3 linked regions of the Macaca mulatta genome follow. The protein of the gene in region 1 interacts with the protein of each later gene in a biochemical or structural test. Links are inferred from orthologs where the notes say so. Each region holds a gene or a part of one and is shown on either strand. Other genes may lie near its edges.

Region 1 (6,207 bases):
ACTGTATCCCAAAGTACACGTACATATCACATGCACACATATACTCCCTGATTACTTAGCAATCCATAGGCCAGGTTCTTCACAGATTATTTCTTTCCAAACAAATTGTTCTATCAAAACTAAAAAGAAATCTCTTGAGGCATTACTCTATTATGACCTGGTGAAGAGTGACTAAAAAGATTACAGGGTTTTTGTCTTTGGAGAGGTTTTGCTTTTGTTGTCTTTTATTTTGTTTTTGTTTTTCCCAGGTTTGTTCTATTAGTCAGGAAACCAAGATTTTTGTGAGTTGCCCATTATCCAAGTGGGGAGGGCAAGAGCAAACCACTTGTTGTAGTAGATGGCAAAAATGGCCTCAATAGGGTGTAGCTCCTCTCATTTAGACACGAGTCTATTTCAGTACTCGTTGAATCTGGGCTGGCCTTGTGACTTGTTTTGACCAATACAGTCTGGCAGAAATGATAATGTGCTCTGAGTCTTCAAGAAGCCTAAAGCCTTTCTTATTTCTACTCTTGGGAATCCTGTAGTCACTGCTATGTGAAGAAGCCCTGGCTAGCCTGTTGGATGATGAGAGACGTGGTTCAATTACCCTCATCACTCCAGCTAACATTCAAACAACAGCCAGACACATGAGTGAGACTATTGGCCATCAGCTGACCACAGACATATATGAGTGAGCCCAGCTTAAACCAGCAGACAAATCACATGGCTGACCCACAGACTTGTGATTTAAATTGACGGCTATGTTTTTAAGCTATTAAGCTTTGGCTTGGTTTCTTATGAAGTAAAATATGACATACCATGGTTACATGCTTTTGCAAAAATAGACATAATAAGCCCACACTTAAATGGTCTATTTTTTCCCTCTAGGACCAGGGCCTCACATTGAACTATTTCAACTGATGGAGAACCCAGGCTCAGCTCCTACAGGGAGTGCCTGATGAGGGAGTTGTCTTGAAAAGTTTGTAAGTCTGTACTCAGGCACTTATAGGAATTCCCTAAGGCTCTAAGAATGAAAAGAGGGCTGAGGGCACTGGGTCAGAAAGCAAATTTGGGTATCTTCCTTTGAAGGAACAGGAGAAGGGGCACACCAGGTACTCAAGGTCTCAGAACCCTGGGTGCATTCAGCTCGGACCTTGCTGGAGTCCTTACCTGGACTCTCTCCAGGGTCTCCTTTTTGGCCCTTTGGTCCTGGTGACCCAGAAGACCCTGGATTTCCTGGAGGCCCCAACTTTCCAGGAGGGCCCTGTAAACCTCTGAGCCCTTGGCCTGTTGGAAGAAAAAGGAAATGTGACTTAATATCTATGTTCTTTCTCTTCAAGGGTTGGATGCCCAGTCCCTTCTCAGGAGAAAGGAGACCTTGACGCAGGACTGACCTTTCTGAGCACTGCTCTCAATAACTGTATGGTATGCACCTGAGAGCAATAACTTAAGAAATAGAGTTGCCATATGGAGGTTGCTGCAGGGAGGGTGCAAAGTGAAAATTAACTGCATGTTTTTTACAAATAGTTGTGGTTCTCCTGTCCGGCCCACTGCTGCTGGATCTCCCTGTAAATAGATTCCCCCAGTAAAACCTATGTTTGCTGGCTCCAGGTCTCTACTTTGGCCTCTTGAACCTGGTGCCATCCCTATTGAAGTGAATAGGGGTCTGACATGACAATAACTATGACCCAGAGAAGAAAAATTCATCCTGTGTCCCATGCGATGGCCTGACCTGTGGGCCGCTTTTCTGGGCAGGCAAGACAACTGTTAGTCACAAACTGCTGTGTGGAAGTCTGAGATGCCAGAGAATGAGAGCTGAATCTCTGTTTTGAGTTACAGTATAGTTGAGAAAAATATACTCAAATAGGACATCAGTCTCCTCATACCCCCAGGCAGTTTTCTCTAGAAGGTAAAGAATTGCAGAGACAGAACAGCCCAAACTGTACCTGGTTCCCCCTTTTCTCCCTTGGTGCCATCACGCCCATCTTTGCCTGGGAAGCCGTTGATGCCTGGGGAGTTACAGGCAATCACCGCAGGGCAAATCTTTTGGGAATCCTCACAGGTCACAGTTTCTGAGTAAGATGTTGCCACCACACTCAGGAGAAGGAGAGTGAGTGATGGAAACAGGGACATGGTCCTCCCCTTGGTGTGAGAAAAATCAGGGAAGATTATCTCAGTTAATCAACATATATGTATTGAACATGCCCTCTGTTCTACAACCTGGGTACAGGCTATATAGAAATAGATGACCCATCCCTGGACTCTAGTTGGGGATTTGGAAAAGTAAACATCCTTGTGACATTGTGTGACTAGTACTTTAACAAAGGTAGGCACTGTGATGAGCAGTGGGGATCCTAAGGAGGGGTTCTTCTGTGCCTAGGCCCCTGGTGTTGCCGCTGAAAGACTATAAACATACTTTCCATGGCAGTGAGAACAAATGGGACTGTGCATTGACACCTCGCTCATGCCCATTAGCTTAGGGAATAAGAATGCGTGGAAACCCAGGTGTCTGTAGGAGCTTCCTCTTTCTCTCCACATCCCCTTTGAGTCCATCTGCCACCTGAATCCTATCTTTGTATCTGGGCAGCTGATTCCTCTCCAGGGCCTGTTAACTATCATTTACTCAGTGGCAGGCCCTAGGCTACAGGTTGGTGATCCAATGAGGAAGGTCTCAACCTCAGATCAACCTCAATCTTAGTCACCAGCCCAGCCCAGAATTAACTTGAGTTTGCTTCCCCTTGGTGTTTTAGACAGGTTTGCCTGGGTAAGCATTTTCTCTGAAAATTTCTTACTATGTTGGACCTGGCAGAGTGCTAAATCCCTCTCTACTTTCTGGCAGGAACTCCCCCGTTCTGTGAGTCAAAACCACTGGCAATTAGACAACTTGCCTTGAATCCCCCTCCCATTTCTCAATCTTAACCTTTCATTTGTTCTTCAGAGCTTTCTTCCAGCTATTACCCCACTAAGAATCCTCAGCAGCCCAGCCCCATAGGTCTAGGTCCTCGAGGCTCCCTTTGGAAACAAAGATAGTTTCCACTGCAGATGAACAGATAATTGAGGAAAGTCACAGGTGCTCCAGCAGAAGCATAAAAAGAAACATCCTCAACCTGATTTCTGCCTTTCATCCCACTTCCCCCACCCCTAGAAAGACTCCTCCGTACCTCCAGGGCCATGTCAACTCCCCAAACCCTTGATCCGGGAACCCAGATTTATTCACCAGAAATGACGTACTGGTGTTTCTGCAGAGCAGGGACTCAATGACAAGGACGCTGGCCCTCTAGCCTGGGGCTCTGGCAGATGCCTCAGATTGAGGGAGGAGGCTAGGCTCAGCAATGTAGGGCCCAATCAACCTTGTGAACAAGGATAGCCCGGGCCTGGCCTTCAACTCCAGATTAATAAACAACTCTTCTCGGGACTAGGAGAAATTTAGGAGCCTCCAGCACAGTGCTCGGCAGCTGTGTGCTTCAATACAGTAAAATTTCTCTTTCAATTGCCATCCATTTTGGGAAATCTCCTTGCTGAACTACCATAACTAGGTTCACCTGGTTAGTCATGTTGAGTTCCTTGTTTCCAACAGGAAAACAAGGATACTCACAAATGCAGACATATGCTCATGCCCACCAACTACACACACAGACACGTGCATGCGTGCACACACCCATCCATGAAAGCATATAGACCTCTTGCTGCCATTAATGCATTAAGGTCATTCCTGCCTCAGACTCTTCACTTGATGTCTCCACGCCTGGACCCCTTACGGGCATTGCCAGCTAGCTCTTTCTCTTCTATTTAAACATTCCAATTTCAGAGAAATAAGTACCTTGATCACTTATTCTAAAATAGTCCTACCTAGCAGTCTCTATCCTCTTAGCCTGAATTATTTTCTCTCATGCTACTTACACTTTATGATATTATAGTCATTGACTTTACTGTTCCATTTTTTCATTGTGCTAAAATAGACATACCATTTTGACCATTATTATTAAGCATACAACTCAGTAGCATTAAGTACATTCACATTGTTGTGCTATCATCACCACATCATGGGACAATTTTCATCATCCCAAACTGAAACTCTCAACTCATTAAACTAGAATTCTCCATTTACCCCTACCCACAGCCACTGGTAACTTCTGTTTTACTTTCTGTCTCTCTGAATTCATCTATTCTGGGTACCTCATATATGTGAAATCATACAATAGCTCCTTTGTATCTGGCTTATTTCACTTAGCACAATGTCTTCAAGTTTCATCCTTGCAATAAGAATTGTAAACTGTGTTAAAGACTTTGGGTTTCCTTCCAAGGGTCACTAGGGGAACTGCAATAGTGGAGAGATGATCACATTTGAATTTTGCAATGTGAATTTTGCACCTTTCTGGCTATAGTGTTGAGGGGAACAGGACTGGAGAAAAGCAGATCTAAAAGGAAGTGCTTGCCGTGATCTAAGTAGCAGACAGTGGCCTGGGTTGGAGTAATGGCAGCTGGATTATGAAGGTGGGCACGTTTGAGAAACAGGAGGTATTGATTGCACTTGAGAATTAGCTACAATAGTGAGCGATAATAAGAAGTTTTCATGGGCACACACATTTACGACTTGACTATCTAGGGGCCGCTCAGCTGAGATAAAAAGCAAAAGAACAGCACTTGGCAGTACAAGATCATCAGTATCGTGAGTGTTAACGGCTTGAACCATGTTCCTGTGATTAATGGGGACAATCTAGAAGGGATGGGAGAATACTTTTATGAAGCATAGTTCACTTGATTCTCAACTACATTTCCAATATAGCTTTCAGAAAAATGCCATGTAGCTTGGGGTGTTGGGGAGCCCATCATGGGAAGTTCAGAGGCTGCGAGGCCATGTGGTGGGGATACTATGGAGGCCTCCAAACACCAGAAGAAATGTGAGTAAGATGCACTGCCAGGTCCCTTCTAATTGAAGTCTTCTTGGCTTGTGGAGGGACTGGCTTCCTTATTTCCTGCTGACCTGTCCCCTGTGCCTGGAAAAATCCAGGATGGTACAGAACCACATGCCTAAAGCCATCAATGGATATCAGGAGATCCAGGGCCTAAAGAACACAGTAGATTACTTGTTTCCCTTCTTATTCTTTAGCAGCCAGAGCTTCCCCTGCTCCTGCTCCAGTAGCAGCAGGTGGGGCGAGGTAGTTGACTCCAGGTCACCGGCGGTGCTGGCTTTAATCACAGTGCTTGCTTTCATTGTTTACCTAGTCCAGAGGTTAGGAAACTGCCCTCCAGACCCTGAAATGTCCTAGAACTGGGTTCAGAGGGTGGGGGGATCTGAGGGAAAGTCAATCTAGCAGTTAAGCCACAGATTGGAGTGTTGCCCAGTTACATCCTGCTCTCCAGAAGGCCTTTCCCAGCAGGAGAGGCCCCTCTCCACATACTGCAGCCTGAATGTCTCTCTCCACATCAATGCCCACTCTGCAGTCCATCCCATACACAAGGCCACTGTGTGCATTTGTTCTGGACTTTAAAACTCTTCCCAACACTGCTTCCACTCTGGCAGCACCACAAGAAATCCACCTCACCCCAAAGAGGCTGCAGAGACAACTGCCTCTCTGATCTGCAGGAGTACTGCCTGGTGCCCTACATCCCCTTTTTTGTAGACTAGGGTGAAATCCCAGCTCTCCCGCTTCCCAACAGTGTGACCTTAGTCAAGTTCCACTGCCTTCACGTCCTTAGTTTCCTCGTCTGGGAAAGCAGGCACCGCTGCCTTGACTGTAGATTGGTGTATCCTTAACTGGTCCACAATCAGAGTGCATGGCACACTGCTCACCACGACAGCCTGCTTAAGAAAGGCCTTCATTCCCTCCAGGGTGACTGTTCAAGAGTCTTCTCAGCGTGGGAAGCAGCGTTCTTGGGTGGCTTCATGTGGGAGGCATGGTTTGAGATTCGGAACCAGAAGGCTTGGTTTTGACTCATGAATGTGAGCTTAGACTCCATATTCTGGCTGAACCTCAGTTTTATACCTTTCGAATCCGATTTTGAACCCCATTCCCTTTCCCACTGGGATGCTGTGAGTAGGACACTAGGAATGAGAATGTTACTGCTCTCCAAGCGAGGACCATCAGAAATATGCTTATAGTCAGATAAAATGGATTGATTATTTTTAGTTTTTTTTTTTTCCGTTTGTTTCTACAGGAATATTGAGCACAATGGTGTACCCCAGGGTTTCTCAGTAACAGGGTGTCGGGAGGGGATTTCTGTAAG
Region 2 (6,044 bases), on another chromosome or scaffold:
CAGTGGCTCAACCCGTGTAATCCCAGCATTTTGGGAGGCCGAGGCGGGCAGATCACCTGAGGCCAGGAGTTCGAGACCAATCTTGGCAACATGGTGAAGCCCTGTCTCTACCCAAAAAAAAAAAAAAAAAAAAAAAAAAAGGCTGGGTACGGTGGTTCATGCCTGTAATCCCAGCACTTTGGGAGGCTGAGGCTGGTGGATTATGAGGTCAGGAGATCGAGACCATCCTGGCTAACATGGTGAAACCACGTCTCTACTAAAAAAAAAAAAAAAAAAAAAAAAAAATCGGCCGGGCACGGTGGCTCAAGCCTGTAATCCCAGCACTTTGGGAGGCCGAGACGGGCGGATCACGAGGTTAGGAGATCGAGACCATCCTGGCGAACACGGTGAAACCCCGTCTCTACTAAAAAAAAAAATACAAAAAAACTAGCCGGGCGTGCTGGCGGCGCCTGTAGTCCCAGCTACTTGGGAGGCTGAGTCAGGAGAATGGCGGGAACCCGTGGGGCGGAGCTTGCAGTGAGCTGAGATCCGGCCACTGCACTCCAGCCCGGGCAACAGAGCCAGACTCCGTCTCAAAAAAAAAAAAAAAAAAAAAAAAAAAAAAAAAATCAGCCAGGCGTGGTGGCAGGCGCCTGTAGTCCCAGCTACTTGGGAGGCTGAGACAGGAGAATGCCGTAAACCTGGGAGGCGGAGCTTGCAGTGAGCTGAGATCGCACCACTGCACTCCAGCCTGGGCGACAGAGCAAGACTCGGTCTCAAAAACAAAAAACAAACAAATTAGCCTGGCATCCATAGTGGCACATGCCTGTAATCCCAGTTACTGGGGAGGCTGAGGCAGGAGAATCGCTTGAACCCAGCAGGCGAAGGTTGCAGTGAGCTGAGATCGTGCCATTGCACTCGAGCCTCAGCAACAAGAGTGAAACTGCGTCTCAAAAAAAAAAAAAAAAAAGGCCGGGCGCGGTGGCTCAAGCCTGTAATCCCAGCACTTTGGGAGGCCGAGACGGGTGGATCACGAGGTCAGGAGATCGAGACCATCCTGGCTAACACAGTGAAACCCCGTCTCTACTAAAAAATACAAAAAAACTAGCCGGGCGAGGTGGCGGGCGCCTGTAGTCCCAGCTACTTGGGAGGCTGAGGCAGGAGAATGGCCTGAACCCGGGAGGCGGGGCTTGCAGTGAGCTGAGATCCGGCCACTGCACTCCAGCAAGGGGGACAGAGTGAGACTCCGTCTCAAAAAAAAAAAAAAAAAAAAAAAAAAAATTTGTAGAGATAGGGTCTCCTCACTACGTTGCCAAGCAAGGTTGTCTAATTCTTGGCCTCAAGCAATCCTCCTGCCTCAGTCTCCCAAAGTACTGTGATTATAAGGGTGAGCCACTGTGCCCAGCCCCAGCTAACTAAGTGGGTTACCTGACCACCTTCTAGTTCTTTCAGGGTATTTAAAGAAGTTGATTTGCATAAAAGTACTTGGGGAAGTACTTAGTTCACAAGAAGTACAGCCTCAAAAGCATTGCTGTGAGGACTCCACAGGGACAGACCAGGAAGTACTGTTTACAAAAAGTACCATTTTTGAGTCAGACCCGCCTGGGGTGCGATCGTATCCTGTCACTTTCCCCTTGGGTAATCTTATGCACTTGAGGTACCCCAGGGATCCTCCTTTTTCCTCCAAGTCTCACCTGCCAGAGGTCCAGGCCCAGCACACCAAAGTTATCATAGGCATAGATACTGGGATCAGGAGAGTACTCAGGATTGTCAATTTCTGGGTGGATCCAAGTGCCCTTGTAATCTGGGTTGTCGATCTGCCGGGGCTTCCACTCACCCTGCAGAAGGAAGAAGGGAACTAGAGGGTGAGTAAGGTTGGTGCACTCCCCACTGTGAGCCCCAGCCCTGCTCAGAGCCCCAAACTCACCTTGTACTCAGGGTTCTGAATCACTGGGGGTTCCCACTCTCCATCCATCTCTTCATCCCAGTCCTCGGGTTTCTTAGCATCGGGGTCAGGGATATGCTCGGGCTTGTCCCAGTCCTGGGGGGTAGATGAAGAGGTCAGAGTTGGCCCAAATGTCCTCACACCCTCCAATGTGGAGAGCAGAGCCCCCACCCAAACACCAACCTCAGGCTTGGAGTCTGTGGGATCATCGATCTTGGCCCGCTCATCCCAGTCTTCAGGTTTTGAAGCATCAGGATCCTTTATCTTCTTGGGTGGCAGGAAGTCCCAATCGTCTTCCAAGGAGCCCGACTCCACCTGGCTGTTGTCAATCTTCACCTCATAAGTGTTGTCTGGCCGCACAATCAGTGTGTACAGGTGTGTAAACTCATCATCCTGAAGAAGGAAGAAGGTGAGCAGCCCCCCCTCAATCAGGCTGACCTCTGAACCTCCCCATGACACCCATTTGCCACCACCCCCAGGCACACCTTGCAACGGATGTCCTTGTTGATCAGCACGTTTTTGCCCTTGTAGTTGAAGATGACGTGAACCTTCTTGGTGCCGGGGCCACAGATATCAGGACCTAGGTGTGAAGCAGATCCAGTTAAAAGTCAGAGACTACCCACCATTTCGAGTTCCTCACCCCTCTTTACAAAAGGAAGACCTGGTTCCTAAACTCGGGTCTGTCAAGGCTGAAAAGAGAAACTCAGACCCTGATTCTGTGCTGAATGGGTTGTGGGTGAAGCCTTAAGTTTAAATTAAAAAAAAAAAATCAGTGCTCTAGAACTCAACATCCTCATTTGTAAGATTGGGAAATAACTATATACAATGACACAAATTAATTAACAGCCTAGATCTGCGATCATAACGCAATAAATTGTTGCTGTGACTTAATTCTTTTAGCGCCCCTTCCAAAGACAATCATAACTATTAAGAAAGTCAATGGGGTCTGGGTCTCCCTCCAACTAATGGGACAGAGGTCAGCACCAGGAAGCAGCCCCTCACCAAACATGATGTTGTATTCTGAGTCTCCGTGCATGTCCGTCTGGTCCAAACTATTAGGAAACAGCTTCACATAACCGCCCCCACAGTCGATGTTCTGCTCATGTTTCACCGTGAACTGCACCACCAGCGTCTGGCCTTTGTTGCTGAAAGGCTCGAAACTGGCCGACAGAGCATAAAAGCGTGCATCCTGGCTTGTCTGCAAACCTGAGACGGGACGGTAGTGTGGTCACCGTTGGGTCCTGACCCGCGAGGACCCTCGATTTAGACGATACAGACGACTCCCCCACTTCCTCCACCTGCCCTGCTCCTAGGGGACTGTCCCGGCTGTGTGTGTGCGGACAAGGACTTCTGCCAGGAAGTCCTCGCGGATCTGAGCACCCACTCCTAAGCTCTTACCTTTATCTTTCTCCTCGTCACCGTAGAACTTGCCGGAACTGAGGACGAATTTGCCAAAATCTGACTTGTGTTTGGATTCGATCCAGCGGGAAGTCCACCCGTCTAAGTGGAGGGTTAGAGAGTTAGGTCAGCGCGGCTCTGCTAATCCCCCCCCCCACCAAGCATCTGCGGAGAACCACAAGCTGCTGGGGACAGGGAAGGAGATCCCCGACTCTCCCCACCCCAACCTCTAGTTGACACGTCGGGTGCCTTCAGCGATCCTCGGGCGAACCCTAACTCCCACCGCGGGAGGCCGCTACGCCTTCCGCGCTCCCCAGAGACGCAAAAGAGGGATCGCCCGCAGCTCCAGTCGCCGGGGACCACTGTGTTGGCCCTCTAAGCGGTAATTACGGGCGACGACGCAGATCCGGGATGGGGGGCCGGCCGCGTCGTCGGGACGGCCTCGAGGTGGGACCAGGCGTTACCTCCGTCCAGAAACTGCTCCTTGAAGTAGACGGCGGGCTCGGCGGCGGCCAAGCCGAGGAGGCCGAGCAGCAGCGGCACGGATAGCAGCATGGCGGGCCGAGGGGGCGGCGGCGCGCGGGCCCTTTAAGACGACCCTCCGGCGGCGGCTCTGCAGTACGGACGGACGCCGCCGCCCGCCTTGCATTTTTATACCCACCCGCCTCTCAAACCAACCTGACCCAGCCCTTGGGCCCGCCCCTGACACTTTATCATTGGCCTGCGCCCACGGCCGTCTCTTTCCATTGGACCTTCGTCGGTTCACTAGGTTAGGCTGCGCCTCGGAACGCTGGGTTCCCAGATGGCCGATTTCTATTGGCCTCACCACTGACCAATGATGGTCGACCACGCGTTGTGGGGGACGCCCACTGGTGAGGTGGGGGCCGCGAGCCCCTCAGGCCAGGTCATGTGACCAGACCTGAACCTAAGACCGCCCTTGCCCGTGCGCGTCGTTCCCCATCTGGGCGTTTAAAGAACCCGCGGGAGCGCAGGTGTTTCCACGCGGGATCGGGACCCCGCCTCAGCTTCTCTTCCTCCCGTTCCCTCTAGGTGGAGGGGCTGGGCAAGGCTTTCCTAGCCAGTTCTTATCTTGCATTTGGGAACCAGCACCCCACTGCTGCTCCCCTACCCCCGCCCAGGATAGGAGAGAGCTCATGGGTTGGGGCCCTGGGGCTACGCTGCACCCCGGTGCTACAGCCACGCGGGCCAGTGGGAAGAATGCCAGCCCTCTCCTCATTCTGCCCCTAGGGCCCTGGCAGCCTATCAGACTGCTGCTGTGTGACTGGGGCAAGTCACTTAACCTCTCTGAAGTGACAGACGTTCCTGAGCAGACAGAGGGGGTGACCCTGGCCAGGTGCTACCCAGCAGAAATGCTGTTAACGTTTTTAAAGCTGGCCTGGGACAAGAGGGGAGGAAGACTTAACGATGTGACTGTGACTCCTGGGGTGGGGATAGGGTTATTACCCAGATTGCAGCAGCCCCTTTACTCTCGTCTCAACCGGTAAATGAAGGAGGTCGCTGTCTGTGGTCTCCCACAAACGGCCTGGCTTTTGCAATTAAACGGCTATAGGCGAGAGGGCAGGGGGTTCCGTTTGGGGAGGGAAAAAAGACACAGATGGTAGCGAAGATAAGGTGCTAGGGAGATGGGCAGGACCCCCCCACCCCACCCCAGTCTGGAGTCTTCTGAAGCCAGAGGCACGTGACTGGCACCAGTACCCTGCCCCCAAGCTGTAGAAAGGAGATCTGGGGGTTTTCCAAACTCTGGGCAAATAAGCCCTGGACCTGGGAACACGGGAGTGGACTGTGGAAGGAGGGAATGAGGGGGATCCAGGAAAGAGGGTGAGGAGGGGGTGCTTCCTGGCTAATGGTTGTGACTCAGAAAAGGGAGGAAGGAAAAAATGAAAAGGAAAACAAAGTGGAGTGGGGGAATGACTTGGCAAGGGTCTTTGGTTAAGAAAAGAAAAAGAAATGGTGGCCGGGCGCGGTGGCTCACGCCTGTAAACCCAGCACTTGGGGAGGCCGAGGCAGGCGGATCATTTGAGGTCATGAGTTCGAGAGCAGCCTGGCCAACAAGGCGAAAACTCGTCTCCACTAAAAAAAAAAAAAAAATTAGCTGGGCGTGGTGGTGGGTGCCTGTAATCCCAGTACTCAGGAGGCTGAGGTGGGAGAATCACTTGAAACCTGGGAGCCAGAGATTGCAGTGAGCCGAGATCACACCACTCCAGGCCACCAGCCCAGGTGATAGAGCAAGACTCCATCTCGAAAAAAAAGAAGGGGGAGAATGAATTGGGAAGTTGGGGTTCTACCCCTTCCTCTAGGTAGTATTCAGTATTGCCTAGTCTGGTCCCCTCAATGAGGATCCCGAGGACCATCCCAGGCCTCTGGCTGACCCTTCCTCCTGTTCCTGTGTCAGGCACCTGTGGGCTTGGCACTTCCTACCTGAGATTAGACACTGCCTGTTTTGTTCACTTTGCATCCTCCAGTGTCACCTGCAGCATCTGGCACAGAACAGGATTAAAAACTACTTGCTGCATGACAGAAGAGAGGAAGGAAGGACTTGTAGAAATTAACTAAAAACAGGCTGGGCACAGTGACTCATGCCTATAATCCCAACAGTTTGGCAGGCCAAGATGGGAGGATCACTTGAGGCCAGGAGTTCAAGACCAGCCTGGGCAACATAGCAGGATGCCATCTTTACTAAAAAAAATTTTTTTTTTTTTTT
Region 3 (6,157 bases), on another chromosome or scaffold:
TTACAGGGATCTTCACCCAGTATTTCTGTGTAGGGCACTTTTGATGTTACCTGTCCAAATGTGAAGGTTATTTTAGATTAAAATAGATAATATAAATCATACATCCACTCATCTGAGCATATGTAAACCAAAATACATCACAGAGCACAGAAAGCAAGTTGGAACTTCCCTTCTATCTTGCACCTTTACCTAGCAGGGATAACCAAACCAGATCCTACATGAGGACCAGATGAGGGCGCCAGAGTTCACCCTATGCTAAACACTGCCTGGTAAAGCTTAATTTGCGTACTATTTTATGGCTCAGAATGTGGTCTATCCCCATGAATGTGAGCCGGACAATATGTGTTCTGCTGCTGTTGGATGAAGTCACCTATACATGTCAATTATATCCAAGTGGATTGATGGTGCTGTTGAGTTCAAGTATGTCCTTATGGATTTTCTGCCTGCTGAATCTGCCCATTTCTGATAAGAAGACTTCAGCACCTTTTCTGATATCAGAAAGATATCATAGAAGTCTCCAACTATGATAGCAAATCCATCTATTTCTCCTTGCAGTTCTATGGGTTTTGCCTCACATATTTTGTCTCTCTGTCAGGTGCATACATATGGGATATTATTATGTCTTCTTGGATAAGTGGCCCCTTTATCATTATATGATGCCCCTCTTTATCCCTAATAATTTTTCTTGGTCGGAAGTCTGCTGTGTTTGAAATTAACACAGTTACTCCTGCTTTCTATAACTAGCATTAGCATGGTATATCTTTATCCATTTACTTTTAATATATGTCGTCTATATTTAAAATGGTCTTGTTGTACACAATATATTGTTGGGTCTTGTTTCTTGATCCACTCTGATGATCTCTGTTTCAAATGGTGCATTTAGATCATTGGCACTCAAAATTATTGTTGATATGGTTGGTTTAGTGTTTGTTACTGGTTTCTATTTGTTGCCTTTGTTCTCTTGTTCTGTGTTTCTACTTTTTGTCTTCCATTCTTTTCCTGCCCTTTATTGTTTTATTGGTTTCCTTCCTTCCTCCTTCCCTCCCTCCCTCCTTTCTTTCTCCTTCCTTCCTTCCTTCCTTCCTTCCTTCCTTCCTTCCTTCCTTCCTTCCTTCCTTCCTTCCTTCTTTCCTCCGTTCTTTCTCTTTTGATATGGAGTTGCGCTCTGTCACCCAGGCTGGAGTGCAATGGCATGATCTCCGCTCACTGCAACCCCTGCCTCCCAGGTTCAAGCGATTCTCAAGCCTCATGCCTCAGCCTCCCGAGTAGCTGGGACTACAGGCACCCGCCATCATGCCTCGGTAATTTTTGTATTTTTGTAGAGACAGGGTTTCACTATGTTGGCCAGGCTGGTCTCGAACTCCTGACCTCAGATGGTCCACCCACCTCAACCTCCCAAAGTGCTGGGATTACAGGCATGAACCACCGTTCCCGGCCCTCTTTATTGTTTTAACTGAGCATTTTATATGATGCAATTTTCTCTTCCTTATTCACATATAATTATCATTCTTTTTTTCACTTTTTTCAGTGGTTGTCCTACATTTGCAATATCTATTTGCAGCTAATCTAAGTCCTCTTTCAAATAGCCCTATACCACTTCACGGGTACTGTGAGTTAATCATAATAACAAAACAATCCTAGTTCCTCTGCTATGTTTTGTATAGAAATAAATATCCCCATAAACTGTCCTATGCAAACTGTTTCTGGATTCACTCTTTAAGTGCTAGTAAATCCATACACCTTTCACTCACACTTTCCTGATCGTAGGAGCTAAGACTTCTCCCTTTTCAGTGATCCTGCAGTCTTGCATGACTTCTTAGTCATGATTTTTCAGATATGCATGGGGGTTTTCAGATTACAAAACACTGTCACATGCATTACACCATCTGATTTTCAAAATACCTCTTTCAGAGATCAGGATGTCAGTTATGCTCATTTTATACATGTGGACACTCAGTGATGTGACTTAACTTACTGGGTCCAAGACCCCAGCTGGTAAGTAGCAGAAGCTGGAAAAAGCCGAACACTGGCTTCCTAATAAGTAGATTTCATAAAACTCCACCACCTACTTCTACATGCATATACCTTGGGTGCATAGCTCTTATACTTCTTTAAAATTCTAAAGGACCGTGCACACTGGAAACATCCATCAGCATTTTAAAATTTAAATTATGTCAGCAAGAAAATTTCCAGGTAGTATAGTTTAGGCTGTTTCACATTTGGAGGTTATTGTGATAACCTCAGTAATTTTTTTTATTTTTGCAATTAATAGTGTCTGGGATTGTTTATAACAGTAACTTAATCAACATAGGCAAACTAAAACAACATTCTAGTAAGAAGAGGGTCAGTACTCACAAGGATGACACAAATTCTTAAGCACTGACAACAGATTGCTTAACTTACTGGGCATGCTTCTCTTCTAAAAATAAAATTGTAAGTTTTATCATATCTCTTCACCTGACAGGTTACTTTCTGGTGCCTAAGGAGATCAAATAGTAATAACAACTCTTGCGGGAACTTGGTTTTAATTTATTTTATTTTTTACTCTTTTAGAGAAGAAGGAACACTCAAATAAAGAATGCAAAATGTCTAGTAGCAGAGAAGGGCGAACCTGGAGTTGTCAGAAGAGGCTGGACAGGAACAACCAAGACTGTCACTTCAATTGAGATGTTGCCAGTGAGTCTAGGCAAACAAGAAGACTTCTGGGGAGCCCAAAAATAATAATAGAAGGGTTCTAATTGAAGATGTTTACCTATGTGAAGTTAAGAAAAAGGAAGAGATGTGGCCTCAAAATTTCCATAGTAGTTATAATAATAGGGTTTATTTTGCACTAAACACATCCCTAAAATGCGAACTGTAAACATATCTACTGTTCCTTCTACCTGCAGCGGTTACACTGCATGTTCTGGGGCTGCCCTTACTCCTCTAATCCCCAAGTGCCTGGCATGCATCTGTCTTAAAATATGCTATCAATCAAGTGCAAGGGTGATGATAGCGGTGGTGGCTTGGGGTGGGGAACGAGGATAGTTCTATGTGGGGCAGTTGTCAGGTAATACCTGCATCCCTAGGACTGCTTGTCTAAACACCATTGGGAGCAAAGTGCAGAGGCAATGGTTGAGGGGATAGAAATGGACTCGGGGACAGGCCCTGTGTTAGACACTCGACAGGCTTTATGCCACTGAGGCAGCACCTCCACAATGCACAGATATCAATGTCCCCATTTTACAGAAGAGCAAACAGACTTAGGTGTGCTAAGCTGCCTCATAGTTAAGTTTCTAGGACCAGAACTCAGGTTTGTCGGATCCCCAAGTCCCCTTTCGCTAGGATCAACGCCACGCTCCGCTATAGCCAGCCTAGACTGTGAATACACAAATGCAAGGAATTTCATGCGACACCCGCTCAGCATCTGCGCCTTCCTCTGCGCTGGTCACGACTTAAGCCCCATGCACATGGGGACTCCACGCTTACCCAGAAGCAGCGAGGGTCTCCAGTGAGCAGAAGAATCCCAGACCCGCCGCCCTGCCGGTTTGCGCGCTCAGCCCACCCATCGCACTGCCTTCGGACCCGGGCGTCCAGAGGAGCGCAGCCCAGCGAGGCACGCGAGTTCCCTGCGGGGCCCCGGGTGCCTCGTCCGCCCAGGCGCCTCCCCACGCCCGCCCGCGTCTCACCCCAGGCCACCGGCAGCGCGAGCAGCACCACAACCGCCAGCAGGGATCCTCCGCAGCAGAAGGGGAGACGGGGCGCCGGCGGCCCAACAGGCTCCGGGCTTCTTGGAGAAGAGGCCCCCATTCTCCCCAAGCACATCTACAAACCAGATTTGTTCTCGAAGAAAGCTGAAATAAGAGGAAAAGAGCAGTACAAAGAGGAGGGACCAATCCTTGTGCTCCGCGCCCAGGGTATGGGGAGGGCTGCGGGGTTCCGGGACAAAATGCTTTTCACCACAGCTTCCTCTTCATGGGCGAGGCCATGTTTACTCCCCATTTGCATTGTTTCTAACGGGTTTCTCTGGCAGAGCCCACGTTGCGGACCCAGGTGCAGCAGCAGAGCTTGACAATGCTTGGGCTTCCGATGGATCCCGCGTGCGAGGCTCTGCGCTTACAGACACAGGTGGTGGATGACGGCAGCTCGCCTCCAAACAGCCTGCTTGACTATTCCTCTTTGCAAGAATGTGTGTGGGAAGGTCAGCTAATGAAATGCCTGGTCTCTGTGTTGAAGCGCAATTGCAGGCCATGTGTACAGTGTACAGAGAATGTGAAGAACCAATTTCCTTATCGTGAATTGAGATGTCAGGCCATCGTAAGATTTTTAAAAAGGGAGGGACGATCGGATATACATTTTTAAAATGTAAATGTGTGTATAGTATGGAAGGTAGATTAGAATAGGGCAATAATGGAGAGGGGAGACCAGTCAGGGAGCTTTTGCTGACATCCAAGTGAGGTTTGATGGCGGCCCTGACTGGGTGGATAAAGTGGATAATTAACAAAGATTTTGGAGATGAAATGAACAGTTGCTTGTGTACTGGATATTGGTTACTTCCTTTCTTAAGGTTGGTGGTGAGAAGAAAGCAATCAAGAGTTAGCCCCAGGATTAGAAATGGATGGTGGTGCTACTTATTGAAATATGAAATATGGATGTAGGAGTGACAGATTTAGGGTGACGGTTAAGTATTCAAGGATGAATTTATTCCTCCTATCTATCTGTGATCCTGTGCCCTTTAACCAATCTGTCTCTATCTCCCATTGTCTCTCCCTTCCCCAGCCTCTGGTAACCAGTACTCTACTCTATACTTCTATGAGATGAGCTTTTTTAGAGTCCACATATGACTGGTATCATACAGGATTTGTCTTTCTGTGCGCACTGGTTTCCATTAGGCTTTCTCCCAAAATTCTAGTGGAAGAAATGTCTACTTTGATCATATCACTTATCACACTTTTTAATACATCCAGTGACATTCTTTTAAGGATTTGCTATCATCATTTCAAGTTATTCTCGACAGAGTAATGGGAGAAGCAGTCAGATTGTAGTAGGCTTAGGAAAAGAGAAGAGGAGAAGGCTCAGTTTCTCAGTTTTCCATCACATGCTATCAGAAGGTGCCACTCCTTACCACTTCTGCTGGTATCCATCTCCTAGTGTCTACTTTCTCCCCTCATTCCTTGAAGGTTTTAGCTCCTGGCTCATGGCCACCTTCTCCACTATTAGTTCTGCCACAGTCCCTGGTTATTTCAATATTCACAGCAATAGCATTTTCAAATCCCTGGTCTTAAAGTGCCTTGACCTCTTCTCTGCCTGTGGTCTTGTCCTCTATTCTCCTCTGACACTAATGCTCATGTGCATGCTCTGAAACTTGTCACTGTCACTGCAACCCTCAATGATTTCAGTGATCCCACTCTTTAACCACCAATCCTACTCTTCTCTTTTACCATTAAACTGAATCCAGCAATCTTTGTCTGTCTCAGTGCCTGCAACCCATTGATCCTACCGCTCTCTCTCTCAGCCTCTCACCTCTTTCGTGTCTTCACTTTCATCACTACCAGGTTAAATTCCATACTCTGTCATTATAATCATCATCTTGCACCCACCATTAGCTCCCTCACCCTTCTCTTGCTTTATTATAGGCGTTAGACAAATCGACAATCCTGGTTAGAATCAATTCTCCATTATTTTGCTCCCATACCTGTGAAACTGAATGTGACTGGAAAAGACACAGAGATACAATGACTAGCCTTACTTTAGTAACAAAGAATTTCAAATGGACCATTGTACTGCTGCCTGACATTTCCACTATTTTTTGTCTAATCCATTTATTCTCCCATTCTCCTAAATGACTATTTCATATTTTTGACATTTATTTCTGACACCTTCTCCAACATTCCTAATCTCTGTGAATAGCTTTGTTTCTTTCTTTATTGAGAAAATAGAAACAATCAAATAGATCTACAATTTTCTACCATCGCTCCACCAAAATTCTTGTATTTGGCCCATGTAACTTCCTTCTCTCTTGTTAGTGTATTTATACTGTCCACAGTCTAAGTCTAAGGGTGATCTCTCCACTTGTGCCCTAGATTCAGTTTGCTCTCACTCGCTCAAGGAAACCAGCAATTCTCACTTTCTCCAGCATTATCATACCCCTCTTTCTGCTGGATTTTTACCATCAGCA

The links.
Region 2: the proteins of MBL2 (region 1) and CALR form a complex in vitro, tested with the Homo sapiens proteins (2 studies listed by BioGRID and IntAct). The link is inferred for Macaca mulatta from reciprocal best matches to the Homo sapiens genes MBL2 and CALR.
Region 3: the proteins of MBL2 (region 1) and CR1 interact in a biophysical measurement, tested with the Homo sapiens proteins (2 studies listed by IntAct). The link is inferred for Macaca mulatta from reciprocal best matches to the Homo sapiens genes MBL2 and CR1.

What each region holds. Positions count from the first base shown.
Region 1 is NC_133414.1:96,984,834-96,991,040, reverse strand, and holds the start of MBL2 (mannose-binding protein C), read right to left. Parts: upstream 3,336-6,207; 5' UTR 3,153-3,335; coding exon 3,141-3,152; intron 2,181-3,140; exon of another isoform or gene 2,122-2,180; coding exon 1,926-2,121; intron 1,267-1,925; coding exon 1,150-1,266; intron 1-1,149. UniProt on the Homo sapiens protein: Calcium-dependent lectin involved in innate immune defense. Binds mannose, fucose and N-acetylglucosamine on different microorganisms and activates the lectin complement pathway.
Region 2 is NC_133424.1:13,502,707-13,508,750, reverse strand, and holds the start of CALR (calreticulin precursor), read right to left. Parts: upstream 3,909-6,044; 5' UTR 3,878-3,908; coding exon 3,787-3,877; intron 3,425-3,786; coding exon 3,323-3,424; intron 3,131-3,322; coding exon 2,927-3,130; intron 2,505-2,926; coding exon 2,410-2,504; intron 2,318-2,409; coding exon 2,108-2,317; intron 2,021-2,107; coding exon 1,907-2,020; intron 1,818-1,906; coding exon 1,674-1,817; exon of another isoform or gene 1,641-1,673; intron 1-1,640. UniProt on the Homo sapiens protein: Calcium-binding chaperone that promotes folding, oligomeric assembly and quality control in the endoplasmic reticulum (ER) via the calreticulin/calnexin cycle.
Region 3 is NC_133406.1:65,244,958-65,251,114, reverse strand, and holds the start of CR1 (complement receptor type 1), read right to left. Parts: upstream 3,909-6,157; 5' UTR 3,805-3,908; coding exon 3,669-3,804; intron 1-3,668.